Linked DNA regions of Notamacropus eugenii. The protein of the gene in region 2 purifies or fractionates together with the protein of the main gene of each other region. This does not show direct contact. Links are inferred from orthologs where the notes say so. Each region holds a gene or a part of one and is shown on either strand. Other genes may lie near its edges.

Region 1 (16,251 bases), on a different chromosome or scaffold from region 2:
AATAGACTCCTGTTCAGAAAACAGGCTGGAACTATGGCCCTTCTTTAAGCTGTTTCCCATTGCTAGCTTGGACAGCACTGGGCCCCAGCCTAAGGGCTCTCTTCTGGACCCTCTTAGCTTAAGAGTGATTATCAGTAGAAACTGTTGCTGTTTCCTTCCCAGCCTGATGTCTTTTTCTTGGCCTCATTAAAGGGGCCATGCCCTGGCTACTTCCTAAACAGGCCTATTCAATGAATGGGCATTGCCTCACCCTAAGTGAGTACCTGCATAGACCTTGGCCTAAAGGGGCCAAGATCTCCCAGTGCATCCTGAATCATCTCCAGTCATCCTGATGAATATCTGGTCACTGGATTCAGATGGCTCTGGAAGAGAAGTGAGGCTGGTGACCTGCACAGCCTTCCTTTACTCAAAGCAAAGTCAAGTGCAAGTCATGTCAGCATGTCTCTGATGGCATGGTCTTCTTCGGCAGTGATGGCAGTGAAGGAGGAACACAGTTGCCAGGATCACAGATTTGGGTATTTAAACACTTTTGTTCCTGGAGTAGTTTTAAAATAGGATTCCTAAGTCAAAATAGGACAGTGGCCTAGGGAGCAGAACTCCAGGATTATAAACTCACTTTCAGTACAAACACTGGGACTCTGGTAACTTTAGAACAAAGGCCGTTGACCCCACTTTTGTTTTAAAACAGAGGTGTACCCAGTTTCAATGAAAATTTCTTAGATTCACTATATATGTAATTGAAGTTCCCTGTGCTTAACTTTGTATGATGGCTTTATGTTCATCAATTAGATTTTTTGAGACTATTTTACAAGGTTCCATTAAATAGATCTAAAATGAGAAAGGATCTCAGAGGCTATTTGTCCCATCCCTTAATTTTATAGTCAGTATGTGACTTGCACAGGGTGACTCAGTATCCAAGGTGGAACTGGAATCCTGAAATGCCTTTTCCACTATACCATTCTTCCTTTATGTAGCAAATAAACAGCTTCTACTCTAGGCAATGCAATGAAATACTCGTGGACCACAGCATGCAATCAAAACTTTATTTATGATAAGACTGAAAAGAATACAATGCCTAATAGCTAATACAAGTAAAATTCTATTCCTTTCAGCTTTTGCATTCAATCTCAGTAATAGCAACACTGGATCAGAAAGGTATTCCCATAGGGAAGTGGGAATTATGATAAATCTCTCATTATGAAGGCTGAATTTTTTTTTTTATGCCCCATGAACTCCATACCAACTAAGTCCGAAGGGCAGCATCTAAGGGGAGGCTGCCCCAGCCTATGTAAAATAAAGACTTCCTACCATATCCCACCACCTGGTGACAGGGTCCTCCAATTCCTTCAGTGCAGGGGTTGGCAAACTCGGGGCCAAGGGTTATATAATAAAACTTTATTTTAAAATGTAAAGACCATTCTTATCTTGCTGGCCATACAAAAATTATGCAGATCCCTATTCAGGGGATCTTTGTTTGCTGAAAAGACCTTCAAGTAACTGACCTTGAAAGGAGTCTGGCATAAGCAGTACTGGAGGAATATTCCAAGTGCATGTAATAAAAATACAAAGCAATACAAAATATCCTTTAAAAAGCAGAATCCATGTAGTGGGGGTGGTAACAGGCAGTTCATAGATGGTCTTCCAATGTAAAAGTAACACGAAGCCAGGGGGTTAGACTAGGACCTAGACTGCCTGGACCACCACATTGGCAAGGGCAATAACAGCCAGTGTTATCAGTGCAATAATTTTACTCAATTCCCAATAATCTACTGTAACCCCTAGGTAATATCCACCTTCTTTCGCAGCCACAGAAGCTTATTATAAGGGGAGTTGGAATAAGTTTAGCCCCCTTCGTTTTCATTACAAGGAAAGAAGTATCTTTCACAGACCCCTCTTCACACACACACGCACACACGCAAACTCATATCTCATATGCCCTTTTTGGCCCTTAGTATTTATTTAAATCTTAGATCATTCCGTCAATGAAGAGCCTCATGTGACATAATAAGAAATCTCATACTAGTTAGAAATGAGAGACAGGTGATAGGCTCCTGCTCAGAAACATGCTGGAACTATGGCCCTTTGGGGCTTCTGATTTAGCTGACTTGGTACTAACTTTGCAGAGAAAACCTCTGCAAATTCCCTAAGCCAAAGGAACTGCTGCTGAAAGAATTTTGTCATTAGATCACATATTCATTAGTTCATTCCAATGAATCATCGGTTTGCAGTTGCCATTTCTCTTATAATCTTTCAATTCCCTCCATCCTGAAAGCCATCTTCAACTCTCCAGAAGAGAACATCGTGGAAGTTTGTAACAAAGCTTTCTTACTGGTGGATGTTCTTGGCTCCTATTATCTTCCTTCTTAGTTTTAGTCTCATCGATGCTTTTCTGTTATCAGTCTTCACTCTCTCAGCCTAGCCTTTTTTAACCTGAGAAATTTCTAAATTCATTAACTACACACCATCCCCTCCTTGAAGGCATGATCCTTAAAAACCAAAAATCTTTTCTTTCACATCCCAATTGATGACCATGCAGTGAGTTTTTCATTTTCCTTAGGTTGGTAATCCAGTTTTTCTCTATCTCTCAGCAAAAGCCAGGGAATACTGATCCTCCCTTTTTTATTCTCCCTACCAAGGTCCTCAAATATCCACTGGGCTAACGCACCAGGGTCAGTGAAAGCTACCTCCTTCCCTAAATATGCCTAACACAAATGCAGCTCCCATACTTGGCTACGCAGTCACCCAAGGAGCCTTTTCCCACGTTGTATTTCAATCTAAACCTGCTGGCAAATGCCAGATGGTCTAGGCTAGGCCTCATTTGGGCCAGTCCAATGATTCAGATTAGGGATTAGAAACAGGTAGCTGGCAGTTTAAAGTACTGGACCTGGAGTCAGGAAAATCTTGTTTCAGACACAGTAGTATCTGCCTCTCAGGGCTGCAGTAAGATCAAATGAGGTATTTGTAAAGGGCCATATAATGCTAGCCATTACTATTATTAGCACAATACAACACTTGTGGACCATAAAATGCAATAAAATTGTATACTAAAAAAAGGATGTAATTACTAATGCAATTATACTCAGTTATCCTCCACTTTTGCATTCAACATGGCAATAGTCAGAAAGGAATCTCTAGGGAACTCAACTAAACCTTTTCAGTGCAGATGCCATAGGCTGGGCTTTTTATACCTGTAGTCCTCCACACCAAGGAAGGAAAGGGGAAGGGCATGCACATTTATTAAGCACCTGCTATGTACTAAGTTCTTAATATGATCACATTTGATCCTCATGACAATCCTGGAAGATAGATGCCATTATCTTCATTTTGCAGCTGAGGAAATTGAAGCAGACAGAAGTGAAGTGACTTACCTAGGTCAGAGTATCTGGGTCCAGACTCAAACTCCCTTTCTGACACCAGGCTTAGCACTCTATCTGCTGTACCACCTAGCTACCTCCTGATTTTAAAGCAAAACTACCTTGTCTAAACAAAGCAAATACCACTTTTACCCTAGGAAGAAACAGGGTAGTATTTAGAAAGAAGGATTCTTAAGGGGAATATAGTTGGAAGTATAGAAGGCCTATCCCTTCTTCCCCAGCATCCATATAGACACATCAAGTCCTCCATCCTTCCGTGTCTTTACTTCTTTCTAAGACATCTGCTCATGCTCAGCCCTTCCTGACTGAATTAACTTGGCTGAGTTAGGCCAGCGTTTCATGGAGATACAAAGATTAGTGGACGTAAAAGCCAGACAACTATCCATTAGATCTGAGGTGAGCAAAGAAATGAAAATTTAATAGGCAAAAGTGGAAGCATGGGTGTTTTGGGTGGGGGAGGGGATTTTTCCCCTAGGGTTGACTTATTAAAGTCAACTGGTTAACAGCAAAAAAGTATAATGGTAAATGGCTATATAATTATTTGTAAATGAAAGGAGATAGTAGTACTCTTAAGAAATATCAGACACCTGGTAACACTTGAATGAACTGATGCAGATGGAAGTAGAACCAAAACAATTTAGGCAACCATAATAATACAAAGGAAAACAGCTCTGAAAGACTACAGAGCTCTGATTAATGCAAAGACCAATCATGACATTAGATGATGAATCATGCTTCCCACCATTTGGCAAATGATAGGTGATGGAATCAATGTACAGAATGAGTTACACATTTTCAGCTATGGCCCATGTATTGGTTTTTCTTAACCATGCAAATTTGTTACAAAAGATTCTGTTGTGGAGAGGGAGGAGGAAGAGTTGATGAGGACCTAAAGAAGCAAAGATCATCACGAAAACTTTTTTAAATACAAAAAAGTTTAGAAGGCCAAAAACTGCCCTGCTCATGTCTTATTACTGTTCTTAGCTCTTTAAAAATCTGTAACAAAAAATTCCATTTCACATACAATCTTCTTTTGTATGTTGAAATGTTCATGTTTGCCAGCCAAGATTTAAATTTTAAAACACAAAACCTAGAGTTTATTTTATAGAGCTAAGGCTAATAGTTTTCACTTGTTTTTCAAGTCGTTACACAGGAGTGGAAACCTTACCAGAGTTCTTGCTTCTCGAGGGTTGTTAAATTTTCTTTGGGCATGGTACTCAGTCTCAGAAAAGTCAAGCCACAATATATACTTATACAGCTAATTTAAACTCAGACTTTATTTTTAATTAAACTAGGTCCCACTTTAACCAAAATTTTTATTTACACAAAGTTTGCAAAATAACTCTTACACCATCCATCCTTGCTAATTCTGTTTGGCTTTTATGTGTGTATGTGTGCATATACATAACGTATGTATACATGTATGAGTGTGTGCAAGTGTGCACAAGCACATCCTTAAAACAAAGAAACACTTGTTTCACTTCTAAGAGCTTCAGGTGTTTGCTGCCTTGGTGCTGTAGGTAAAATCCGACTTCATGCTGATGGCTAGCACTGAATGGAAGGTGAATTCCAGTGATTCAAAGCCCATCCTAATGCATCAGTTCACGGTCTTCTTGGCCTGAAATGATAAAAAGCATGTGGAGTCAACTGACTGCTTTAATATTAAACATGATTCTGTTATGAAAATATAGGAAATCAAGCACTGTTGGGAAGAGGCAGAATTTGCCAACTGCCCACCCTGCCCTAACAAGATAAATGGATCTATCTGTTCATCAACTTTGCCTATAATCCCTAGTTTGATTATGGTGCCCCAGCAAAGGTTCTGATTTTGTTCTCTCATATTCTCATTAGTTTTGGTCTACAGCACATCTACAGCTTACAACTCCTGACCCCAACTATTTGTATTGACCTATCTATCTGTCTTTGGTCATAAGGGGAACCTGTTAAAATATGGATGGATAGTGATTCACACTAGGAAAAATTAAAGCACAACACTACTTAGGGTGGCACAGAAAGATAATTTTCCCAAGGATGGCATATTTAGGTTAAGCTTTTCCCATTAATGGGAAATAATTAGGTTAAATAATTCATTTCTGAACTTGAGGATTTCACCTTCTCTTTCTCACAAGCTTTTTCCAGTGCTGAGTAACTAGACAGAATGACATTTCTCCTCCTTCCCCACTTCTTAACCCACCCACTGCTAACCCAAAATAATGAAGCTGTTTTCAGGAAAGAGAAATAATGAAATAGTGAAAAAACAATCAATGAAGGATAGATTTACTGGAGAAGAGAAAAACTAAGCTCTTCAGTAGTAGAGGCAGCGTGTGGCCTTTGACAAGGGCACTGGCTGTCTGGATCTCTTGACATTGCTTTTTAATTGCAATGATATGAACTACGTAAATTCTTTCAGTACAGCATTCATACTTTTGATCATCTCATGTTTAAGAAAGTATCCCTTATATTCAAATGAAATCTATTATATATATAGTTTAAAAGCACTCTTTCTAGTTTAATCATTTGTGGCTGTAACTACCAAAAATCACTTTGTTAAAACCTTTCATGCACCGTAATCATATAGCTCTTTAGTCATCTCTTGTCCACTCAGATCCTAATACCTAAAAGGCTTCATTTTCAGGATAGTGATAGTCTGCGTATCCTTTACTAGAAGACAATCACAATTTGGACTCAACTTCAAACTGGCCACAGGGTTTTGATTTTTAACCACAGCAACTTTTTACAGGTCTTTAGTATTTAAATAAATATTCCCCAGGCATAATGCACTATGTCCACGACTGTATATCCAAAACTGGACATTCCATTTTATTAAAAATCTAACATGCAGGCTTCACTATAGTGTTTACCCAACAACACAGATTCAAAGAGTCATTTGGGCAATGAGGAGTTAATGTAACATTGCTACTCAGCAATCCTGCAAAATGTCTTATGTTTTGATATTTTAAGTATCAATCTCCTGGGAGAATCTAACAGGAGTTATAGGTTACTGTTTCATATTTTAAGTGGTTGTCAATATGCACTTATGAGTCTCCTGTTTTAAGCCATTTCTTGAGTGGAGTTAATAGCAATCCAAGACCTGGAAAAAAAAACAAACCAAACTTACTTTCCATTACACTGCTATGCTAACTTATTTGTTTATTCATTCTGGAAACTATCATTAACTGTGTCATTCTAGAGATGGACAGCAGATTACTCAGCAGTAAGGAATCACATTCCTTCGACTAAGTCCTAAATTTAGGCCTCATGACTCCAGCAGCCTTTCCCCCCAATACAGCTTTGTCCAGTCATCTGTACTGGTAAGGTGCTGGTCCTCTGGAAGCAGTGCAGTGCAGAGAATACAGCTTTGTCCAGTCATCTGTACTGGTAAGGTGCTGGTCCTCTGGAAGCAGTGCAGTGCAGAGGTTCTCATCCTGCCTCTGACTGTGTATTACTACCCTAACTCAGACAAGTCACTTCACCTCCTTAGGTTTCAGTCACTTGTAAAACAAGAAGGACTGAAGTGGAAGGTGCTTCAGGTTCTTCCTAGCTCAGGTCTTCGGTTCTATGATCCTTTACATCAATCTCCTTGAAAACGGGAGGAAATGTAGTCCTTCCCTCCAAACTAAACCTGACCAGCTATGTTCAGGACACCATAAAGGTTAAAGAGAGATAACAAAACGCCAAAAAAACAGTCTCTGCTCTACGATCTATTAATAAGATGTTACTGTTAGAGGAAATAACTACAAAACAGGGTAAGTGCCACAGGAGTGCCAGGAGGGACGATTCAGCCGTGGGCATGGGAGCTGGTCTGGGGAGGAGGGGGGTTGAGACAATCCAGAGGAGGGTCTGCAAGAGCGAGGAGTGGGGACTCCTCCGTGTGCCCAGCTCCAGCAGAAGTATACGCTGCACCTGGTTCTAGCATGTTTTACGTGAGTTCTCTGTAGTAGGCATCTTCAAGGGTCGGGGGCTTTTAGGGGGTGCCGTGCTTCATGCAGGGGACGGTCCCCTTTCAATATCTAAGGTGGCACCGTCTCCACCACCCTTCTCCTAGGCCCTGCACCCAGGCAGGGAGCGGAACCTGCTGGGGAGGGGGATGGGAGGGAAGGGAAGCCGTAACAAGGCCCAGCGGCCGCACGTACAGCTGCCAGGAAGCAATTCCTCAGGGCCTCAAACTCCTTGGCGCAAAGGTTCTTCCTCAGGTCCCCGCCGGGGGCCGTGGCGGCCTGGACGCACTTCCCATACGCCGCGGCCTGGAGGGGAGAGAGAGAGACAGATCGGAAGGCCCGGTCACGGGGGAAGGGCCTCCGCGCTCCGGCCCCGAATTTCCAGAAGAGACCCTCTCACCTCGGCCCCACAGGTCGCCAGCCTCTCCGGAAAGCTCTGTATCCGGCTTCGAACTCGGCTCCACACAGCTCCGGTCCCCGACATGAGAAGCTTGTCCTCTCCCCCTTAGACGCTGCCATCTTGGATCCTCCTACTTCCGGCTTCTGTTCACTGCTGATAGGGTGGAACTCCTGTCTTTAACTTTAGGAGAACCTTCTTATTGGTTTAATGATAATTTCCCCCTCCTCTTCCCTCCCGTCATCACCATCACCCGCTTCCCTGAAGGATTCACTCGATTCTCTCAGAGCCTTGTCATTGGTTCATAGCCCTTGTCTGTTTCCGTTCTCCGACTTCGGATTGGTCCGAGATCAATTTGTTTATTAAGGACGTCCTCGGGGCTCCTCCCCTCCGCGAGCGATTGGCCTACAGTACCCGCTCCGGCACGGTGATTGGCGGAAGTGGGAGCCGGCTGGTGAGGGCGTCCGGGGATCATGGCCGCTCCGCAGCTCCGGGACCGGCTGAGCTTCTTACACCGAGTGAGTACCAGGCTGCACCCGAGCCCCGCTGACCAGACCTATGACTCCGGCCGATACCCAAGAGGCCTGGGCTGTGGCCTCTGCACTGCCCTGGCCTCCGATCCGAGCCATTTACCCGGGCAGAGGTCGCCCGCTCTCCCGTTCCGAGGGAGAACTTCGGGCAGGGCCCGGGGCCTCCCTGGGCCTCCGTCTCCTGCCACTCCGGCCGTCTCTGGCTGCGTCTGCAAGCCCTGGCCTCCCGAGGTCTTCTCCCCTTCCCACCCCCCTTTCCGGCTGCACGTGCCGAGAACCTCTGCGCCTCAGTTTTCCTCCCCTGTAAAATGGGCGGGCTGGGGGAGAAGGTCCCCAGAATGCCCTCAGCGCCTGCTCCGTGGTCCCGTGATCCTCCACGTCCTCTTATTCTTTCGCTTCCCAGCCCCCTCCCCAGTCACCCAAGCAGAGCTACTGTCCGGATCCTTTCCTGCCGAGGGTCTGCCTTCCTCGGCCATGCCCACAGCTCTCCTGGAAGGGTGGTTCCCTCCCTCCCCATTCAGGGATCCGTGTCGTCTTCCGGTCCCCTTATCCAGACTTAGAAACCTCCTCCGAGCAGTTCCTTCCTCCTCTTCGTGTGTGCACCCCAACCTTAAGTCCTTTATAAAGCCAGGGTTCTTAATAGCCTGGGATCCATTTGTTTTCTAAAGTATTCTGATGTCCATATTTCAATATAACCACTTTCCTTAATTTTACGTATTTAAAGGCATCATTCTCACAAGGGGGTCCATAGGCTTCACCGAACACACCCAGAAAACTACTTGGAGAAAGAGGTTCATGGGCTTTACCAAGTCAACAAACATTTATTACCCGCCTGCTGTGCACCCAATACTTTGCTAAGCCAAAGAAAGGCAAAGAGCAACCCTTGCCCTCAAGGAGTTTAAAATCTAATGAAGAGACAGCCTAGGAATAACTATGTGCAAACAAAGTTATATACAGAATAAGTTGGTGGTAATCTCAGAGGGAAGGTACTTTCATTAAGGGGACTTGGAAAAGTTTCTTGGAGAAGGTAGGATTTTTAACTAGGATTAGAAGGAAGCCAGGTTACCAAGCCCCCTGAGCAAACTGACCCCTTCTCTCTCAAGGTTTGCTGCTGTACTGATGATGTTGAGATATAGTTATCAGAATATCTGAAAATATCATCATATATTTTTTTAAAGTTCATGGACCTTGGGCTGTTAAGAACCCCTTGCCTGAGATAAGGAAGAAATCTGTCTGGAACCTTCCCATTCTCTTCTCCTTCTCCTTCTCTCCTCAATTTCAGTCTAACAGTCTCTTATTTCCCTTGGTGGCGCTGTCCACTCTTGCTACTCACTCTGAAATTTCACGACAATTGACAAAGAAGGGATGACAGGAACATAACATTATTAAATAGAAGCAGAGGTCTGTAATTTTCTTTTTTCCCCAAATTTATTAATTTATTTGTTTTCAGTTTTCAACAATTTCTAACATAAGTTCCAGATTTTCTCCCCCTACTCCCTCCCCAAGACAGCATGCAATCTTATATGGGCTCTACATATACATTCCTATTAAACACATTTTCACTTTAGTCATGTTGCATAGAAGAATTAAAACCAATGGGAGAAACCATGAGAAAAGCAAAACATAACAAAAGAGAAAATAGTCCTTCATTCTGTGTTCCGACTCCATAGTTCTTTCTTGGGGTGTCGATGGCATTTTGCATCAAGTCCTTTGTAATTTTCTAGTACAGCTTCTCTTCACTCCCCTCTTTCCTACTCATACTTCCTTCCTCAATACACACATGCAGTGGGATCCAACGCTGTTCCTTTCCAGTCCTTGACTTCTGTGGTCACCAACCAGGTTTTACCACAATTACTTAAAAGTTCTTTTGAGTTCTTTTACAACTTTTTTGAATGAAGTTCATATTACCCTCCTGTTCAGAATGTCATAATTATTTCTAAAAGGAAAGATATTGGTGATTTCTGTAGCAGGATTACAGCTCTGAGGTAAACTACCTGACGGTAGTTGATCCTTCGCATGATTTCTGTTGGCAGTGGGCATTATTCAGTCCCTACTGCCTGTCAAGCATGCCTAGTGATGTCACTGCCAGTATAGGGTGATGCCAGCTTTCAGAATTGATTTAGGTGCCAGGTCAGAAACGTAGGAGGGTGTTGAAATAACTAACACACTAAACCTAGGGTTGGGCTTGTCCAAACTTCAGTTCCATGTGGACGATTTTGGTGACGCATAGTGGCGTCTATCTTAATATAATCTAGAGGGAGAGTCAGAGTGAGCCAGCAAGCTTCTGTCTCCCTTGTTGTCTTTCTGGGGCATCCCTTACTTTATATTAGGGGGAAAGCCTAATAATGACTCAGCCCTAGATTATTTAGCTCATTCCAAATTCTGTGCAAATCTTTGATAATACACATACTTGCTTTTACATAGTTGTACATCCTAAGTAGTGTTTCCTTTTTCACTTAACATTTCATCTGAACATTTCCATGATCTTACATACTTCATATCTTTGTCATTTTAAAGTCAAGATAGTGTTACAGACCATTCAAGTGCCAGTTATGTGTCAGGATGCGCAGATTTGGAGTATCCACCTCAAATATTCATACGAACTATCTGTGCCCAACCTGTGGTAGAGCATTCTGAGCCACAGTCCAACACACTGAAACTTCACTTTATCATGGTGATGTTATTTTGGTCCTCTTTAAGAATGAAGGACAACAACCAACCATGTGATCTGCCATTACACCATTCTTGTATTGTTTGAATTATTTCTACTCTTGTAAGTGGTACCACTCTAAACATTTTTGAACAGATTTTTCCCCTCTTTGGATGATTTCCTTGGGATCTGTTCTACAAGATAGATTCCCAGATCAAAGGACAAAGAATAGAAGCCTTTTTGTATCTTTTGTGACATATTACCACATTTTCTTCAGAAAAACTGAAACTGTATCTTGGGTGCCACTGAAAATGTATATAAACATGGATGTAGGTAAATAAGAAATAAGTACACCAATTTCCCTACAACACAGCCAATATCAGACTTTGTTATTCTAATTTATTTTTGCTAGCTCAGTAGATATATGATGGTACCTTAAAGTTATGTCTCTTTAATTGCCAGGGAAGCTATGACCTATGGGCCACCTCATTCCAAGCACAGGAATCTTCCTATTTGCTTGGAAAGCTGCATGCTGGAACAACTTTTCTTATTTACCACTCAACTCTACCATCCCTATGAGCTATCAGTGGCGTCCCCAGCAAACCTGTTTCACTGGCATATTGAAAAAAGAAATGAACATAAATTTGGGGCTAAATGCTCCATTAGCAACACCATCCTGTTAGAGCTAGTATCCAGGTCACATTTTCTTGGGTGACAAGACCTTCCATGTATGGAAGGAACTGTACCTAAAGAACAAACATGGATATAGGGATGTCCCTGTGTGAAAAGATTACCAATGGAGATGGGGGGGGGGGGTTTCTCTTGTTCTCATCTAGCTCCCAATTCTGATGAAAGGAACGTCTGATGATGATGTCCCATGCCCTGGCTACCTGTTTGAAGAGATTGCTAGTATCCTTTTCCCAAGAAGACAAGAACAGCAGCTTTTGGGACAGGCCATGAAAGAGCTATGGTTTTGATGGGATTACCTATCAGGGATTACTGGATTATTTAAGAGGCACATTGAGGTGGTTTGGTAATTGGATTGGGAAGACTAATAAGGCTGTATGCTGGTTCTTCAGCTAAACCTAAATTATCATAGTTTTTCCTCAAAAGAAATTATTATAGAAAAAAAGGAGGAGGTTGTAGTGAGAAGGCTCAATTTTCCCCTTCCCTTCATTGCAATCTGGAGTCTGTCCTTTCCCTAACATGATTGCCTCCCAGAAATTTCCCATGAGTCAGTGGGAAGCAGCCAGTGTCTGTTGGAGTACCTCCTGAACCGTTTACAGAGCAACTCCTGCCATGTTAAACTCAAGGTAAGCAGGAGAGAGGAAGGGTAGGACCCCTCAGCTGGTTCCCAGGGCCCTGGTCGAGTCAAGACAAGCCAGGGCAGAATTTAGACAGAAGAAAAGAAAGAGAAAGAAGAGGACAGTGGTACGGTTAATCCACATCACAGATGTATGTGGATGGTATGGTAGCACAGGGGGCTTTCCCGGGCCCTGGGTATGTGTCATTAGGTCTGCATTGCAACCCAATGTGGTCTTTCACTTGATATCTTTTCTCTTTCCAGGCACTGAAAATCTTGCTGTACATGTGTAGCCATGGCTCTTCATCCTTTCTGCTTGCACTCAAACGCAATGTGTCCTTCATCCAGGAAGCAGCAGGTATCTGGGAGTTTTAGAACTAATCTCTGTTGGGAGATTATAGAGAAAAGTGGGAAAAGTTCAGTTAGAATATTCAGTTTCCTTTTCCTATCAGTTTTAGTTTGGAATTTGACCCTTTCGTAACATTAATTAGGAAATGACATTGTAATTCACAGAAATCTCTATCTTAGAGTGAGAGAGAAGACAATAAGGGTTTGGTTTCAGGATGGAGAAAGTCTGAACTCCCATCAGGGGACATGGATTCCACATCCTCAGCCTGGCTTGGGCCCTGTCTCCTCCTCTTGAGGACTGTTCTCCAGAAGCCAATTGAAGGGGGAAATTGAACGATTCTCCAGACCTTGAGTGGCTGTTTACATTTACTGATAAAGGAAAGTCCACTCGGAGCTGGGGGGAGGGAGAACTTATTTATTTATTCCGAGCAAAGAAACAGGTGGTTCTGGAATTGGGCCTTCAATTCTTGCCTTCTGATCTTGGTTCCATCAGTCTTTTCACATTAGTTGCCTATACTCAGAGCTAGTTAAACTTCTGCTTGTCCTCATGGGAAGAGGGGAATGAAAAACATTGACTGGAGTTAAAGGAAAACATCTCCCTGGAGCAATTTTAAAGGCTCTTAATCCGTGGAATGTCCTTGGAAATATATCCCAGGGATGGGCATCATTGCTGCTGACTGCTCCAGCCAGCTGCTCTGAGTGAAGGAGTGGAATGACAAGGCCCTGCAAAAAGTCACCTAGTCCTTTGATCAGGACCTCTTTTCAACCAGGCATTAAAAGTTAGCTCTGTTTCCTGAAAATCTTCCCCCAACCCCCCCCCCAAAGTCCATGAATTCTTTGAGTAATTGAATACATTATTTTGCAACCTTTTCAGACCTAGGGTCTGTCCTTTCATCTCTCTTACATCTGTCTTTCATCAGTGGGAGCTCATTCTCTTTTGATCTCTTCTTCATGATGTTACCAGAAAGGTGGCATTTTAGGGCAAGATACGGAGGCTTTGAGGAAAATGTCCCTGGAGGCTAACACAGAGAGACATCCAAGTGCTTGAGGGAAAGAAGTCCTGGAGAAGGGAACGGAGTGACAAGAGGCAGCGACTCTGGGGAAGCAACTGAGGGACATGGGAAGTTGGGCTTTTGGAGTAATCTAGCACTTGTGTGGAGAGCCATTTCTAAATGGACTGGAATGGAGAAATCGTTCTATACATTTGGGAGTAAATGGTTCAGAGCCTCATGTTTTTTTCTACTTCCTGCCCTCCTTATTTTGTAGTATTTGGTGGTCTCCCAGATCCTCTTCATGGAAACAGCTTATATCAGAAGGTCCGAGTGGCTGCCCAGGTGAGTCTTAAAGCTAGCATTAAGTCTGAGCAATATTGAACAAGGAGGCCTCCCTCTGGATTAGGCGGTACTTGGTGGACACCTTTGCCCATTGGCATCCTGAGTTTAGAATGCAGGGCTTGTGCCTGAGAGCTAGTCTCCCATTTTCCTTTTCTTGCCCACCCAAAGAATGTTGCTATGGACCATCCTGGGACTTGGAGAGAATTTCTGTTCCTTATTGTTTGTTTAGTCGCACCCCTTTAGCATCTTGCTGGGGCTGAGGGAGGTGGAGCGCAGAGCAGAGCCCTCTCAGGACTGCTGAGTGCAGAGGGCAGGATGCTGACACAACTTTCCATCCCTCTTCTAGGACTTGGCGAGTGCTTTGTTTTCTGATAACTTGTTGCCGTTGCCTTCCTCCCAGTCTCCTAGGTCCCTTCCTTCAACAGGTAAAGTAGATACTCCCTTCTCTTCCTTTCTCTTTAAGTCAGTTTTCAGTCCCTTTTATCCCTGGGCCCTTTAAGTCAGTGCTTGCTGGGTCAAAATGGAGAAAAACTCATCTTCTCTCTCTGTTCCCTTCCCCTGGAGTTTCTCTGCCCAGTGAATGTGGAATTTCTCCCTTCTCACTTCCAGCTCAAGGTATTTTATTTTTCTCCCTAGGTATGGGATCCCAGTCCAGTTCCTATAGCACCCTCCAAGGCTTTGGCTACACCAAGGACAAGGGAAGCTCTGGTGAGTATTCACCATGGGACTCCAGTCTTCTTAGTTCAAGGTGTTCTCTTACTGCTGCTCTTACTGGTCTGTCCGTCTGAGGATGGCATAGGCTGCGTCAGCAGAGGACTTTCTGGAAAGCTGGTCAAAGGAAATAAGATCGAGAAGGCTTTGTTTGCAAAACTTCAAGTGCTATATCAGCATTGGGTTAGAAAAAAAAGGACTGGGATATCTTGGTTTTCCTGAAGTGGAGTTTATGGGGCTAATGGCTAAGGACTTTGAGGATAAGGACTTAGCAACACTGATACCAAGCTTTAGAGCCATGCTCAGGGTATGGGCACTGTGACCTTGACCTGAGCTGGGGAAAGTTGAGAGCTGGGTCCAATTGGCCAGAGGGCAGGAAACCTAAAGTTGACTTCCAGTAAATAATATGTGACAATCTGAATGGACCTGTGCTCTCCTTCCCCTCGCCAGTTTCACATTTCTTTTGCCTTGTTTTTGGTAGGATCATAGAATGTTGAGAGATAGCTATGGTATAGTGGATAGAGGGTCTGGATAGAGGGTCAGACTAGAGGCAGGAAGGCCTGGATTCAAATCCTGCTTCAGAAATTTACTGTCTAGGTGACCACGGGCAAGCCACATAAACACTGAGCCTCTGCTTCCTTGTCAAAGTGGGGAATAGTGATAGTAGGATTCAGTGGGATTAAGGGAGATGTTATATGTGAAGCAGTTTACAAACATTAAAAGTTCTATATAAACCTCAGCTACTAATGTTCCCTGGAATGGTTATTAGGGATCATCTGCTCCAGATCCTCAGGCAGCTGAGACCAAGAGATTGTGACTTGCAGGGGATTGGTCATCGAGGGAATTCTAATCAGGGAAGATAATTTCACTTCTTTCTCTAGCTCCTCTTTTCCTGTTGTTTTTTTCTTTCCCATTTATGCTTTACTAATAATATCAGTACCTTAAATTTGTATAACATCTTTAACTTTTCAAGGTATTTTCATATGTATCATCTTGCTTTATCCTTATAGACGAGGGAACAGATGCTTAGCATGCTCAAGTGATTCCTTTAATTTGAGGCAGAGCAGGAACTAGAAGTTAGTGTCCACATTGCTGCATTCCTTACTCTGTGTGTGTGTGTGTTTCTCTTTGGGCAGCTTAGCTGCTACTCCTGAGTTCTGAGATAGGGATTAAGTGTTTGGAGGGAGCACAACAGTACAGTCCTACTGCATGTTTGGGATACTGCTTCTATCCTAGTGGTCAGATGTGCCTGAAGCTTGGGCGTGCCAGGTTGTGGAGTCAGGAGATAGTCAATTATACTGGAAAGGGTATACTGCTGGAATTGTCTTGTTGCCAGCTGTGTCTTCTGTTCCCTCCTAAACCTGAATCTCATTCTGCTGAGGCCTGCTGTTTAGTGATGTCTGTCTGTTCTCTGAGCTCCAGAAGCAGAGAACAGCCCATACAACATCCTTTCCTCTCACGTCAAAACTGTAACTTGGAGATGTGGAACAGACTGTAATAATCTCTTCTCTCCTCTGGCACAGGCTTTGCTGGTGAAGCCCTTCTCACCACCATCCAGAAGGCTGCTGAGGTGGTAGCTAATGCTGTGCTCCCTGGGCATGAGAGCCCCATTATCCAGAGCCAGGTGCTGAGGGAGGATACCTACCAACCTGTAATAGCACCTTCT
Region 2 (16,271 bases):
CAGACTATCACTACAGAAAAGAACAAGAAAGAAGACTATAAAGAAACTGTGAAATGAGAAGCCAGTAAAGATGGTAGAGTAGGAAGAAAGAATAAAATTCAGTTCAGTAGAACCTACAATTATTCCCATAAAGACCTAGAAATAACAGGAAAGAGAAATCCTTTTTTGGATTTCTGGCTTTGTTTAGGAAATCTATGGGGTGCACAGAATCATTTTTCCAGCTCAGGTCAGCATAGGAAGATAGACAGAAGTCTCTGGGGAGTAGGGATAAGCCTAGTCAGAAGACAAGGAAGCAGAGCCTTGTAGTAGAGGGATTATACTAAGCCCTAGAGTAATAATTAGTAACTAGAGCATGTATCAGGGCAATGAGTTGTTTAGGATCAGGCAGGGACAGGCCTGACGTGTTCAAGGAATAGTAATATGAGTAAACTGGCAGTATGGTGACTTTAACCCCCGACCTAAGTCTAAATCCCAGTGTGCAGCAAGGAGGGGACATGTGCCTAGAAGCATCAACAGCTTACTGGAGCTCCAACCAGGAGACTTGCACCAAGGGTAGCAACAATCTTCTGGAGAACCAACCAAAATCAAGCCTAATTAGTATCATCCAGAGCTGAACCCAGGTGAGGAGCTTGCAAAGCTCAGAAAAGAGAGCAGTGATCAGACTGTTCTCTACATCAGACTTCATAGGGGGCAGGGCAAGTTTGCTTTCAGGGATCCATCCAGAGCCACCTCTTAGCACCTTCAAAACCAGAGGACTTAATCCATAGAGCAGCAGCTGGATCCCAGAGAATACCTGGTGGGACTAATCAAGACTCAGACATTCCCACCAGAAGTGCAGAGAGCCAGGATCTAAGACAAAGTCCCAATTCAGAAAGTGAGGCTGGAAGAATGAGCAAACAGAAAAAGACTCCTATAATAAAGTACTATTATTGATTCATTCAATAAACATTTATTAAGCACCTGCTATGTGATAAGTGCTGGGGATACAAAGAAGCAAAAGGCAGACCCTGCCCTCTAGGAATTCATAATCTAACAAGGGAGACAACATACAAAGAAATATATACAAGGAAGCTACATATAGGATAAAGAGAAAACAATTAACAGACGGAAGGCACTGGAATTAAGAGCACTGGGATTTTAGTTGGGACTCAAAGGAAATCATGGAAGTCAGTAATCAGCAGAGGAAGGAGAATATTTGTTCCAGGAATGGAATATCCAGAAAAAATATCTGAAGCTGATAGATGGAGTACCATATCTGTGGAACAACCAGGAGCCAGTGTCACTGGACAGAAGAATACATGTTAGGGAGAAAGGTATAAGAAGACTGGAAAGACAGATGGGAGTTAAATTTTATGAAGGGCTCTGAATGCCAAATAAAACACTTTGTATTTGCTCCTGCAGGCTATAATAGGAAGTCAATGGAGTGGATGGAGTAGAGGAGTGACATGGCCAGATCTTCATTTTAGAAAAATCACATTAGTGACTGAATGAAGAATGGATTGGAGTGAGGAGGTATATCAGGTAGACCCACCAGCAGGTTACTGCAATACACAAGGCATGAGGTGATGAGGACCTGCACCAAAGTGGTGCAAGTGTCGGAGGAGAGAAGGGAGTATTCAAGCAATGTTACTTAGATGAAATCAATAAGCCTTGCTTGGCATGAGTTTGGCTACAGTGAGGAATCCAGAATGATGCCTAGGTTTCAAACCTGAGGGACTGGGACGATGGTGTTGCTCTCTGTTGTTGTCTGTCCTTTGATCTTGAAGAGGACCATGACATCAGGGAGGTGATGCCATGACATGCATGTGAATTGGATTTAAGCAAGGAAGGACCATACAAAGTCATCACCCTCACTTTCTCCTCCAGAGCCATCTGGGTCCAGTGGCAAGATATAGATCAGGAGGAATGAAGATACTCTGGATGCAGTGAGAGACATTGGTCTTTTTAAGCTAAGGCCTTTAATAGGTCTCACTTTGACTGAGGCAATGACATTTAGTGATTAAGGCTAAGTAAGAAATTTAACAGAGAATGGGCTATGTTACCTAGTTTAAAAAAAAAAATCTGGGAAGAGAAGACCCTCAGGATTTCTGGCCAAAACAAAAATAACTGCTATTTACGTTCACTCTGAGTCAATCATGGCCCAAACAATGAGCAAGTGGAGCTTGGCCTAGGAACTATCGTTGGCCAAACAATGACAGCCAGAGTGATTTGGGTTTAAAAGGCATGGTACTTAAGAAAGAAATCTAGCTGCTAGAACCCCAAGCTATTTTGCTAGGTTTCAGAGATCAAAATTTATAGTCCTTTGGGCAGAGCACCCACAAGTAAGGGTATGACACCCTATGTATCTTATGTGGACAGAGGGAAAGAAGGAAGAAAGGAAGAGAAAGAAAGGAGCTGTGTTGCCCAACTGGCCATTACCAGTTGGGTGCCCAGTGAGGCAACTCCTACTACTACTCAGAGAAGTTGTTGTTTGTGCTTCATTCTCAAAGAGGACCATATTATCAGGGAGGTGATGCAATGACATCCAAGTGAACTGGATTTAACCAAGAGAGGGCAGTGCAAAGTCAACAGTTGCCCTCTATAATAAATAGGGAAGGTAGAAAGTGAAGGGTTTAGGGGGAAAGATGAGTTCTGTTTTGGACATATTGAGTTTAAGATGTCTACTAGATATCTAATTTGAGATGTCTAAAAGGCAAGTGGAGATGTGAGACTGGAGAGAAGGAGCAAGTTTGGAGTAAGAAAGTAAATTTGAGAATTGTCAGCATAGAGATGGTAATTAAATCCACAGGAGCTGATGAGATCACCAAGCGAAATAATATGCAGGGAAAGGAGAGGAAGACCCAGGACAAAACCCTGGACATGATTTGGAGGAGGAACCAGCAAAGGAAACAGAAGTGGTCATATAGGTAGGAAGAAAACCAAGAGAGAATAGTGAGTGTCTTGAAAACCTAGAGAGAAAAGAGTATTACGAAGAAAATGATCAATGGTGTCAAAGACTGCTGAGAGGTCAAGGAGAATGAGGACTGAGAAAAGGTCACTGGATTTGTCAACTAAGAGAGCAAGGGTAACTGGAGAGGGTGGCTTCAGTGGAATAAGACTGAAAACTATTGTAGGGAGTTAAGAAGAAATCATAAGAGGAGAAAAATTGGAGGGATCTATTGCAAATGGCCTTTTCAAAGAGTTTAGTACAAAGAGCAGAAGAGACATAAGATGAGAGTGGGGATGAAAGGATCTCCTGAGACCTTTTTCAGAACGGGAGATACATGTAACATGGTTGAAGAAACTAAGGATGTTTAGGCTAGAGAAGAGAAAACTTAGCAGACATAATAACTGTCTTCAAGTGTTTGAAGGGCTGTAATGTGAAAGAGGTTAGATTTGTTTTTTCTGGCCCCAGAGGGAAGACCTAGAAGCAATAGGTAGAAGTGGCAAAGAGTTAAGTTTAGGCTTGAAATAAGTAAATACTTATTAATTAGAGGTATGGGCTTTGTCGATTGCCCCATATTGGAATACACACAAGTGAAAAACTAGATGAACATTTGTTATACCTTTGTTCAGGTAATAAACTGCACTAAAGATACTTTTAATATCCCTTTCAACTATAAAATTCTATGATTCTGTTATGTAATGCCACAAGGGAAAAGTGGTAGACACATAGCATGCTCCACTTTTTATCAAAGCAATACCAAGATACTGAAAGCAAGAACTCTAGTATATTGGGAGGAATTCTAGAAGGACATAGACAAGAGTAGACAAAATGAGAAGGTGTGGATTAGCTTCAATCTGCATCACTAGAAAGGGAACTCATATGACATGACAGAACCATCAAAACAAGACTGTGCCTCAGAGTTAATAATACTTTGTTAAGTTGACCATTACCTTACCTGGCTATATCATATACACGGTCAGCAACACGACCACCAATCTGAAATAAAAAGCAATGACAAGATGATCAGGTTTTCCTAATAAGAATTCAATTTTTCAAGTTTTTTAAGTGCCTACTATGTGCCATACCTAAAATTTGGTGCTGGGAATACAATGTACAAAATAAAAACAATCCTTGTCCTAGAGGAGGTTACATTCTACTACAGAAAAAATGTAGAGTCTTTGGGGATATAAGTATAAAGAATGAAATGAGCTCTATTTGCAGGGAACTTGCATTCTAAAAGAAAAGACAGATATGTAAACATGTTCAGCATAACCATAAAGTGAATAAATAAACATGTACAAAGTAAAGATAAGGCTGTTTTGGAGAGAGGACACTAGCAGTTGGGGGAGAAAAGGAAAGGTTTCATGCAAAAGATGGTACCTGAGATGTATCTTAAAGGAAAAAAGGTAGACTATGAGGCAGAGGTAAGGAAGGAGTATATTCCAGGCCCTGGGGACAACTAGTGCTTTTTGGGGTGGGGGTGGGAAGAGAGCACAAGCAATCAGGAAACACTTCCTACTGTAGGAGGTGACATTTAAAATGAGCCTTGAAGACAGTTAGGAGTTATGAGAGACAGAGGTGAGGTAGAAGGGCATTCCAGGGACCATGGATAGCCTGTGAAAAAGTACACAGGAAGGAGATAGAATATCAGCATCTAGGGGGTACAGGGGATAAAGTGCTAAACTTGGGAGTCAGGAAGACCCGAGTTTAAATTCTGCCTCATGATATTCAGGATCCTGGCCAAGAAACTTAACTTCCACCTCAGTTTCCCTCTATAAAATGAAGTTAATAAGAGTGGAACCTAAGGAAGTCAATGAGATCACTGGGATCCCCGCCTCTACAAATCTGAAATTAAGTTAGATTCTAGGACTAGAGGTAGGAAGGAGACATGTTCTTCTTTCCCAATCACTTTTTTTACTGTAGGAGCTAGTGGCTGCCCACTAAGTTATCTTTTATTTATTTTGTGTATGCCTTACATGTGCTTGTTGTCTCCCTAAACAGGATGTAAACTCCAAGAAAGCACAAATCATTTGATCTTTATTTCTGCATTCCCAAGGGCTCAGAGTAATATTTAGGACAGAGCAGGCAATTAACGTTGGTGGAATGATTACTGTTTGGGCGTTATACTAGAATAAACGTAAGTTTGAAAACACAATAAAAGGTGATGGGATTTGGGAAACTCAAAATCTTATCCATTTGCTAGCAGCTAAAGCTCTAACCAAAGCATAGAAGAGAAATGGATTTGAAGTCAAAGTCAGCCTCTGCTGCTTCTGTTGTGGCTTAGTCATTCTTTCAGTCATGTCTGACTCTTCAGGACTCCTTTTGGGCTTTGCTTGGCAAAGATACTAGATTGGCTTTCCATTTCCTTCTCCAGCACATTTCAAATGTAAGGAAACTGAGGCAGACAGGGTTAAGTGACTTGCCCAGAGTCACACAGCTAGTTAAATGTCTGAGGCTGAATACGAACTAAGGTCGTCCTGCTCCATCCACTACAACACCAGCTGCCCTTCTGCTTACTGCCTGTATTTTTTGGCAAATCACTTCATCCCTCCCCACCTCATTTTCCTTGTCTACAAAAAGGATAAGCTAGACTAAATGATCTCTAAGGTCCTTTCCAACTTTAGCTCTTATGTTCCTTTAAGATGACAACTGCTTCCATTAAGCAGTATCAAAAACACTGAATGCATCTAAAATTCTTTATATAAAGTCAACATGTAGTGTTTTAACATAAACTGGTTTTAAATTATTTAACAGTTTTGCTCACATTTTTCAGCCTAACTTACAGTGGGTTTTTTAGTATTCTAAATCTTTCCATGTTGCTGGATTCCCTTTACCTACTTATAGCACAGGCTTGTTTACTTTTAGAGGAAAAAACCCGTTTCTTTGACACAGAACGTTGTTTTGATTTCATAGTTTATGTGTATTTAAAAATTGTATTTGGAAAGAGTTGTGTATTTCTTGCCTTCTCGATAGGTGGCTGTGAGAGAAGGGAGAGACTGGAATTGAAAATAAAACTGAATGAAAAAAGGATGACTATTTATATCTGAATTAATAAAGTAGGCCTGGAAGAGTAAGCTTACAGCTAGTGATAACACTTATATCGCACTTTGCAGAGTATGCACTATTATTATTTCCTTTTAAAAGATGAAGCTTAGACAGGTTAAAGTGGATAGTGCTGAGACGCGGTTTCAAGTCAGCTCTTCCTAGCGGGACCTCAATTAACCTCTCCCAGCCTCAGTTTCCACATCTGTAAAATTAGTTTGATATCGCACCTACTTTTGTCAAGAGAATCGTGAGTTAAAGAGCAAAATAAATGCAAGATACTAGTAAAGGCACCATAACTGGGGCATGATTCCATTAAAATTTAAGTTCTTTGAGGACTTTCTATCCCCAGGGCTTAGCACAACGCTTTAAACATATTTGGGGAGTTATGATACAATCGGGCGTACGGGGGAAGGGGCTTTCTTTCGTTCTCCAACACATGGCATAGAACCTGGCACTTAAACGTTTGTTGACTGACTGTGGAACTGACTTGATGCGTACGTCGACTTGGCTCTTAGTCCCAGAACGCAGCCGCCTAACTTCCTGCCTCCGTGCCTATGTCCAGGCCGGTTCTCCGTACCTGGCATCCCCAGCCGGAGGAAACTTTACCTTTATCCATTCGTGGCTCAGGTCAGCGGCAGCGGGGTTGGCTGCGATCCGTGTCGGGGCCGGGCCTCCCCGCTCGCGCCCTCCCGAGACGATGCACTCACCTCTTCCTTCAGGTAGTCGTACTTCAGGTGTTCCGGCTGCTGGGCCGCCCAGTTCTTCTGTTTCCTCTTCAACGCCCGATCGAAGACATTCACGACGCCGGGGGCGGTGCCGCCCAACGGGGAGAAGCACGAAGAAGTGCCCCGGGATCTGCTCTGCCGGCCACCGCCACAACCACAGCCCGCCGGGCGGGGAGGCGCCAGCGGTACGAGCCGCCGGCACCACGGCAACCGCGCAGCCCTCAGCATGTCAGCTCGCCGCCCTCGACCTCCGCGCAACCTCCGTCGGTCACGTCAACGCGCCGACGCACCGTCGCCCGCACGTCCATGCGCATGCGCGGCGGCAGTACTACAGATACACTTCCGCAGGCGCGCTTAACGCGAAGCTACGGGTTTGACCTGGATCACTTGCCGTAGCTCCGGAGCTTAACGCAAAGGATTGTGGGCCTGAATTTCTCCATGTGATGTTGCGAGAACACTCGCCGAGAGAGCTCCAAGTTCGGGTGGCGGAGTTGTAAGAGATTCACCTCTCCAAGGTGAATGGTATAGTCTACTGACTATAGCCTGACCCTGGCCAGGAAGTGATAGTGGCCACCGTCCTCGATCTTCCTCTTCATCGGGGGAGCAGCCGGCCCCTCCGAGTGCCGAGGGCTTCCTCCACCTGCGTGAGGTAGGGGAACTGCTCACGTGCCGGCCGTGCGTCCGTGCTCGGACACGTAACGGGTAGAGCTCTGGCCCTGGAGCACGGAGATCTGAGTGCACCTCCGCCCTCAGACAGTTCCTACCTTGTGACCCTGGGAAAAGCGTTTAACCGTTTTTTCTCAGTGTCCTTATCTGTGAGATGGGGGTTGTCACGATACCTTCCCCTCCCCCCACCCCCGGGTTGTTGTGAGGATCAAATGAAATAACGATTGTGAAGCGCTTCGCGTAGTGCCTGGCACGTAGTGAAATACGTACCATATATGGGCATATGTATCTGTGCATATGTGTGAATATATACACGTGCACACTTAGTGTTATTAGTTTTTTTGAGACCTAAATTTCCCCTCTGTAAAACGTGCTGTAATATAGAACGTCGCACAAGGGTTGGTGCGGTACGCGGCACCGAGGCTCGTGAGGCACCCTGGCCTTGCGCAGGCCAGCCCTTGTCGTTCTCTCGACCCTCCTTACGTAGTTTGGGAGCTTGTGGGGGAGAGTGCCGGACCAGAATGGCAGCCACACCCCCTCACCCTCTTTTGGGGAGAGCCCAGAAGTTTTCTACGCTTATCCCCAGTATTTTAGCGAAACCAGGAGTTTGAGGATAAAAAAAGAAAGCTGGTTGTTAGGCAGGTTTCAGCTCTAAAATTTGATGATGGCGTGGAAATCTCTGTATTCCTATTTTTGATGTATTGGAGGTTGTGTTATTTATTGTTACTTATTTTTTAGGTGATACTTTTATTGCTTCAGATTTCTTTGGAAAAGATAGGTGTTCCCACATCCCTTGTGAGGTTTTCTTTTGTGCAGGGTGATTAATTAGGGTAGCAATTTTCTGAGCCAGAAAACTGGGAAACCTGGTCTGACCACTAGGATGCTTTTTAAAAATTAAAAAATTTTAAAAATATGAATATTGTAGGTGTAACCCACTTTTTAGTAGAGAACAACGTAAACCATTTTATCGTATGTTGCTTTATTTTATATAAAATGTAACTTAAAAGATTCACTGAAGTTTTCTTGAAACCAATTTTGGTTTAGCAAACTTAAATCTTTATAGTCACATTTTTTCAGTTTTTTAGGCTATTCGAGGTTTTGGTCAACAAAGAAGTTTAAAAATGGCATCAAAAGAAGATCTTATGAAGGATGAGCGGTTTCGGCGAATTACACAGGACCCTAGATTTTGGGAAATGCCAGAAAAGGACCGAAAAATTAAAATTGATAAGAGATTTCGAGCAATGTTCCATGACAAAAAGTTCAAGTTGAAATATACTGTGGATAAAAGAGGACGTCCCATAAGTCACAGCAGTACAGAGGATTTGAAACGTTATTATGACTTATCAGATTCAGACTCTGATCTCTCAGATAAAGATAGTGAAGCATCAAACAAAAAGAAAACTAACAAAAAGAACCAGAAAACTAAAAAAGGAGATTCAAAAAAATTACTGGATAAGGAAAAAAGCAATACTGTTAAGCCAAAGGAAGACTTTGGACTTGGGAAAAAGCCAGATGATTATGAAAATATTTGGAAAACACAGCATTCAAGTAGAGTTAAGAAAGTGCATGCACAAAATAATCTGCAAAAGGATGAGAAAGAATCAAAAAATAAAGACATAAAGAATCAAAAAGATGCCGTGCTCTCTAAGGCAGACCCATCATCCAGAGGAAAACTAAAAATATCAGAACTGGACAATAATAAAATTGTGAGATCTTCCAAAGTGAAGTTTCCTAAAGAGAAAGAGAAATGTGACTCAGGTTAGTTACAAAAATAAGTTGTAAAAGTTTTTATTGACTATAGCATCTCTTTTGCCTCTCTTATTTGATTTTTAAAATATTTTTTGAGTTCTTCCAGGTATTCTTGTGTGGTATGTATTCAGTTCACATTTTTCTTTGAAGTTTTGTTTGGAGCTGCTTTGATATACTTGTCTTCTAGATTTGTGCCTTCACTTTTCCCTTTCACCATAGTAATTTATTTTGATCACTTTCTTTTTTTGTTATTTGACCATTTCTCAGCCTATATCTTAACTTTTAAGTTTATATTTAAGTTGGGTTCTGTGCTTGGGATAGTTTGTTCCAAGCTTCACGCCTTTCTTCCTATTGTTTTCAGAGCTAGCTCTGGGGATCTGTAGGTTTCTGGTACTTCTAAGTCAGTATGATCTAAGGAGAGGTGGGGTCACAGTTCTCCTGATCTGTTTACTGGTCTTTACCCAGAAAGGGACTTTGTTTCCCTGTAGCTACCAGTACTATCATCCCTCCTGGCCTTAAGACTGACCAGGTCCCTCTCCTCTCCTGCAGTCACAGTTGCTAGTTCTTGCCTCTGTCTTAGAATTGAGACCAGGGTCCCTACTCTTCCCATTGGTGACAACAAGCATACCTCTCTGCTCTTGAACCATAACCTGGGCCCCTACTCTCCTGTACCACAAGTATTACTGCTTCTTCTGGCCCTGGGACTACAACCTGGAACTGTATGGACAATGCAGCTGTCCTGATTCCAGCACCAGCAAAGGGTCTTCTAGGATCTGCTTTTGACCAGTTGTTTAACCCTCTGCCTGCCACCGCCAAAGTCTGTGGGCTGAAAGAGCTGGAATTGCTGCTATCACCCATGGAGCTACCCCAAAGCATGTCCTTGGGCCCATCCACCACCGTGCTAAGACAGGCCTTTTCTACCAACTCCTAAATTGTCTGGGGCTGGAAAATTATTTCACTAGTTCCGCCACTCCAGCATTTGATTTGAAGCATTATTATAGAGTTTATTAGAGGGAGATTTGGGAGAACTTGACCGAAAGCTTCTTTATTGCACTATCTTGGCTCCACTCCTTTAAAAGTAACTTTTACTTCTGACTGCTTTTGACCTCCCTCTTATTCCTTCCTTCCCCTTCTCCTTAACCTCTTTCCCTCTTCTTTGTTGGGTAAGATACATTTCTGTACCCAGTTGTATGGGTATATATTCTTCCTTCCTTGAACCAGTTAAGATTCAAGTGTTGTCCAGTCCCCACTATTCCCTGTTCTTTTGTATCAACTCTTCCTTGCGTGCCTCATTTGTATAAAATAATATCTTCCACCTTTTATGCTTCTTTCCCTCCTCTCCCAGGGCACCTTTTAAGTTCATCTAAATGTAACAGAACCACACTCAGGCTCTCTAATTAGATTCCGTTTTAGCCCAGTGATGATAATAAAGTTCTGAGAATTTACATATAATCCTTCCATATAAAGAAGTAAACAGTTAAGCTTATTAATTCCTTTTGATTTCTTACTCATATTTACCTTTTTGTGCTTCTCTTGAATCCTGTATTTGTGTGTCAAATTTTCTATTTAGCTCTAGTCTTTTCATCAGTAATGCTTGAAAGTCAAGTATTTCTTTAAGTCCTTTTTCCCCCTAGAGAATTATACTTCATTTTGCTGGCTAGGTTATTCTTGGTTGCAATCCTAGATCAAGTTTTTGGAATATCATTACATCTCTTCACTTCTCTATAGTGGTGGCTGCTGAATCTTGTGTGATTTAACTGTGGCTCTGCACATCTTGAATTTTTTTCTTTTTAGTTACTTGTCTGTAATAATTTTTTTTCCTTGATAGGAGCTCAGAATTTTAGTCATAATGTTCCTAGAAATTTTCACATTGTAGTTTCTTTCATTTTCTGCTTTGTTGTCAGGTTCTAAGATATCTGGGCAGTTTTACGATTTCTTGAAAAATGATAGCTAGATTTTTTTTTTTTTTTTAGTCATTGCTTTCAGGTAGTCCAGTGAGTTTTTAGATTATATATCCTTGATTTGTTTTCTAGGTCAGTTTTTCCTATGAGATATTTCACGTCTTTTTTTTATTTCAGTCTTTTGATTTTATTTTATCATTGATTGATGTTTCTTGGGGTCATTAGCTTCCATTTGTCCAGTTCTGAGTTTCAAGAAGTCACTTTGTATAGTAAGGTTTTCATCCTCTTTTAACAAGCTGCTAATTCTCTTTTCAGACCTTTCTTCCATAGCTCTCTTTTGGTTTTTTAAATCATTTTTAAATTCTTGCAAAAATTTTTGTTGGGCTTTTGTCCACAATGCATTTTTCATTTCTTTGAGGCTTTGTGTATAGCTATTTCCAGGTTATTCTCTTCTGTGTTTGTATCTTGAGCTTCCCTGTAACCATAGTAGGTCTTCATGGATAAGTTCTTTTTGTTTATTTGTTTCCTCTTACTTTTAGCCTGCTCTTTGACTTTGAACTTTGTGTTAGTACTGGGTTTTGCACACTTTAGAGATGTCTGGCCTGAGCTTCTATCCTCTTACATCCTTCTATTGCTTTCATATCTCTGACTGGAGGCCTACAAGTTTTTCAGTGTTCCCAGAGTGGTGTGGTTCAGGAAAAGATCTGTTCATTTTCCTCCTGGTCTGGGTTCTCTGCAAGTTCCTTAACAAGGTTTTGATTTGTTGGCCTTGTGTATGGTTGAGTTACAGCAGATAGCTGTTGGATTCAGTCACTGTTATCCTGCTTGGAGGCTATGTAGGTTTGAAGTAATTGAATTGCTGGTTCCCTTTGATCTGGCATTCTTGCCCTGGTTACTCTATAGCAGGCCTGTGTACAGGGCTTAAGGCTAAAGTTTAGAACTGAGTTGTCACTCTTCTCCTGGGCTCAGAGCCACACAACTGCATTTCTGGATCTTGTTCCTTGCTCAGTACACAGCTAGGGTGGGCCCATGCTCTCTGATGACCACTCCTCCATGATCCACACCTGGCCAGTGTGCCCTGTAGCTTCCAGATGGCACCTAGCACTAGTTCAAAAATCCTCTGGGATACCTTTCTGATCAGGTTTTTCTTTTCCTCTTTATACCTGGGTGCTAAATATTTCCTTCATTGCTGCCCATGTTTCTGACCAGGTCCCCATTCCCCATATCCATATGCTATCTACCTTAGCTTCCCTGACCTGGAAAAATGACTTACTGACTTTTTCTTGGCTTTCTCATTTCGCTTTATTGTGGTACATTTACTGGATTTTGGGAGGGAGGTATGCTGGGTAAGCTTGACAGAAATGCTTTGTCTTGTTCTACCATTCTGCGATTCCACCTCACTGCATGCAGTTCAGTTCACCAAGGCATTAGAGGCCTGGTGAGGTGCCTAAGACTCATAGGAGTGGAGCAGAAAGTCTAAACAGCAGCAGGTAGAAGTCCAGTCAAAAAATCAGAAAAGTTCAGTAAAAGATTATAATAGACTCAGGCACATGACCTGGAGTCATAAATCACATCAATTTATCAATTTGGACTTGTCAAAACCACAACTGACATTCAAGTGACTTTCAGTAGCTACTTGAATATATCTCACTTTAATGCTTTCCTGTTTAAACTAAATGGTATCATATATGGTTTGAGATTCGAAAGGGACCTTAGAGGTCAATTTCATCACCCCTTTTATTGTTGAAGAAACAGAACTAGAAAGATTAAGATATTTGGTAGCAGAAGTAGAATTTGAACTTAAATTACAAATTGAGTTTTCTTTTGCCTGTTTTATTCTGATTCTTGTGTTCAGCCACAAAAATTAAATTGGGATAAATTTTACTGTATGTTTGTCCAGAGATAAACTGTGGTTGTCTGAATTACAGATACAGACCCAAAGGCGTTTGATGCTAGAATGGCCTCCTTTCCATTTAGTTTAGTCTAAAACGGTGAAAATAAGAAAAAATACTCACATTGTAGCAAAATTTTATCTACCTTAAAAAGTGTATGTGAAATTTTTCAGAAACCAAAAATAAATAATCCAAGCTACTACTAATGGCTTTCACTATAGTTCTTATTTTAAAATATCCCTTTGGAGTCAGAAAGCCTTGACTCAATTTCCCCTCTTGCAGTCAATCACTGACTCTGTTGTCATTGAGATTACTTAACCTCTCTGAACCTGAGCTCCCTCATTGATAAAGTAAGGACGATGCTTGTTCCTACCTCACAAGGTGGTGATTAGGCTTAAATGAGAGGACATAAGAAAAGCAGTTGGCAGACTTTAAAGTTCTGAACTTAAATGTCTGGTGTTGTCATTATTATTTATTTTTAAAATCCCCTTTTCTAATATTTGGATGTTCATGTTATAGAAATATCTAAGGCAGAAATTCCTAGACTTATTCCTGTGCAGCATATTACTTAGTTATGGTTTCTCAGCCCCCGTACTTAATTTTCATTGGCTTCTGTTTGCTTTATGAAGCATAGTTAAGTAGTCAAGACAATGCAAGGAACATCAGATCAGCTTGTAAAATCGTTATGAATTAATATCCATATGTTGCTGGCTGGAAAAACTGTAATAACTTAGCAACACATGTTTCTTCACAAATACAGTAAAGTAAAACTTTAGTAATATAGACAGTATATTTTGGGAATTTTTGGTAATCTAGTTACAGTGGAAATAAAAAAATCTGAATCCATGGAAAACATTTTTTCTTTTGCGTTACACAAACCACTTCCCTAGATTTAGGAAAAACTGAAATTTTCACAGTTCTTTTAGAACCCTTTAGTGAATATTTTCTAGTAGGTATTGTTCTTTCATTTCTATCCATTCTTTATGGGGATACCAGTGTTAAATTGGCATGAAGATAGGTGTGAGAGAGGTTTAGAATGGACTAGAAGTAGCTTGGGTCTGAGGATATAAAATGATAACATACTTGGCGGCTTAAGAAGACTGTTTTCCCCACATTTCAGTGACTGATTACTAATTAGTCTATGAAGGAACCTCTGCTGTTGCAATGGAAGAGAAAGAGACCTTTGTAAAGGTTGGCGAAAAGAAGGCATAACTGTTAAAAAGTAAAGGGAAGTTGGATTTCAAAGTAAATTTTGTTTATGTGCACTCCCATGGCTTGTAAGGGCTAGTTTTGAGAAATAGTTGGAGAGCTAGAGGGACAGGAGAGAGATGCATTTAGGGACCTATATCAGAAAAGCTATAAGATTGAGCAAGAAGACATTAAAAAAGGGGCTGCAAATGAATATGAATCTGAGGGAAGATCTGTTATAGTAAAGTATACTATAGAGACTTTTTCTCTAGCAGTGGTGTCAAAAAGCCTGTCCTACTTTGAACATGTGTCAGAAGATCTTCCTAAAATGTTAATAAGTGCACTTAATGAGTTCACTAGTGTTTTTCTTCCCACCTGAGGAAACCTTCAGAATCAGGCACTTCCCCTAAAACGGTATCTGGTTCACATGCAAGTACTTTGGCTAATAAGACATAAAGTAAGGGGCAAATGTTATCTAACACAACAAAAAATTAGTAGAATGGGCTCATGATTGTACCTATAGACAATAAAGAATTAAAAAATTTTTTTTGTGGATCCCTCCCTTCCTTTAGTTCTCCCCAAATGAGTTTTCCCCGGCTTATAACGCTACTTTGGTGTGAGACATTGCCAGATAGATAGACCTCAGAATTGCTCAGGAATTCAGCAGTCCTTGCCCCTGGGTCCTTCCTGCCTTGGAGACTAGTAGTCCTGATTTAGTGCTATCCTGAGTGTGAATAGGTCCATAGCACCTTTTAAGTATTGAAGTATTTGTATACAAAAGAAAAATAATATACAATCTCATCTCACTTGATAGTGCCTATTATGTTCAAGGTATTGGATTTAAAAAGACAGAAACAAAGCAACCTCATGCCCTCATGGAATTTAAATTCTTCTAGTAGGGACAACATATACAAGTAAGCTGAGTAAATACAAAGAATGCTCAAAATTAATAAAAAGTAATTCCAAGAGAAAGAATCAGGAAAGCTTCAGGTAAGAGGTAGCAACTGATATGTGTCTTGAAGGAAGCTAGAGACAATAAGACGTGGAGGTGAAGGAGCTTGTTTGTGCAAAAGTTTGGAAGCAGGACATGGAAGGTAGTGTACGAGATACAGCTAACATACCAGTTCAAGAGTGAGAATGTGATGGGCAGTAATATGAAATGACTGGAAAGATAGATGAGATTCAGAATGTGGAAGCCTTTAAATGCCATGTAGGGGTTTTTGTATTTTATTGTTCTGGAAGTATGTAGAAGGTGATTAACAGTGTGGAATTCTGTTTTGACCCTATTGAGTTTGAGTTGTCTATGGGACAGCAGACAGGTAATTGATTAGAGTTTAGTTGAGAGATTGGGGCTGGATATGTACATTTGAGATTCACCTGGATGGAGATCTAATCCCAGGGAATCTGAGATTACCAAGGGAAGACTATAGCTAGAGCAAAGTAAAGGGACTAGGATAGAGCCTTGGAGTGTGCCCACACTTAGCGGGTGGGAGGGACCATGGTGCTATAGCAAAGGAGACTGAGAAGGAGTGTTCAGGAAACGAGGAGAAAAAACAGAGAAGAGAATTTCCAGAAGGGCTTGATGGTCAGTATCAGAAGCTACAGAGATGTTAAGTAGAGTGAGGACTGCCAAAAGGTAAGAAATATTGGTTGTAATAATAATAGCTAACATTTATGTAATACTGTAAGGTTTTCAAACAATTATACATATTTTATCTAATTTGGTCTTTATAACATCCATGTGAAGTAGTTGCTACTCCCACTTTACCCATGAGGACATGAGGCTGAGAAGATTAGCCTCTAAGTCTAACAAGACTTTTCCACTCACATAGCTAGTAAGTGTAAGGCAAGATTAGAACTCTTGACTTCCTGCCTCAAATCCACCCCTTTGTCCACAACATAGTTGTTTGTTGCAAGTTTGAGAAGTGAATGGGTGGTGAGTAAATAGTAAACTGCTGGTTTGGTACCTCTACCTGCATCCTATACAAGTTTAAGCTGAATAGGGCCTCTCTGCCATATCTAAGACTTCTTCATGCTCTGGTGCACAACTTCTCCCTGTGCTTTGGTGCTCAACCTGTTCTGTTCCTGGCTAGACCTTGTCCTTGGTGTATGCAGACCCCTCTGTCTCCATATGCTGACCTGGATTGATCAAATCTGATTTTTCTTGGATTTCCAAATC

What was found.
Region 1: the proteins of NDUFAF5 (region 2) and NDUFAF8 purify together in Homo sapiens (affinity purification with mass spectrometry; 3 studies listed by BioGRID and IntAct, counting the BioPlex papers as one, with this or other methods). This does not show direct contact. The link is inferred for Notamacropus eugenii from reciprocal best matches to the Homo sapiens genes NDUFAF5 and NDUFAF8.

Annotation. Positions count from the first base shown.
Region 1 is NC_092873.1:324,704,800-324,721,050, reverse strand, and holds NDUFAF8 (NADH dehydrogenase [ubiquinone] 1 alpha subcomplex assembly factor 8), read right to left. Parts: upstream 7,870-16,251; 5' UTR 7,797-7,869; coding exon 7,713-7,796; intron 7,619-7,712; coding exon 7,508-7,618; intron 4,993-7,507; coding exon 4,972-4,992; 3' UTR 4,634-4,971; downstream 1-4,633. Other genes in the region: AP-4 complex accessory subunit tepsin, read left to right, coding at 8,183-8,227, 11,726-11,798, 12,111-12,202, 12,457-12,550, 13,807-13,874, 14,221-14,299, 14,511-14,582, 16,109-16,251. UniProt on the Homo sapiens protein: Involved in the assembly of mitochondrial NADH:ubiquinone oxidoreductase complex (complex I, MT-ND1). Required to stabilize NDUFAF5.
Region 2 is NC_092872.1:587,946,184-587,962,454, reverse strand, and holds the start of NDUFAF5 (arginine-hydroxylase NDUFAF5, mitochondrial), read right to left. Parts: upstream 7,030-16,271; 5' UTR 6,925-7,029; coding exon 6,679-6,924; intron 3,923-6,678; coding exon 3,882-3,922; intron 1-3,881. Other genes in the region: ESF1 homolog, read left to right, coding at 8,484-9,120. UniProt on the Homo sapiens protein: Arginine hydroxylase that mediates hydroxylation of 'Arg-111' of NDUFS7 and is involved in the assembly of mitochondrial NADH:ubiquinone oxidoreductase complex (complex I, MT-ND1) at early stages. May also have methyltransferase activity.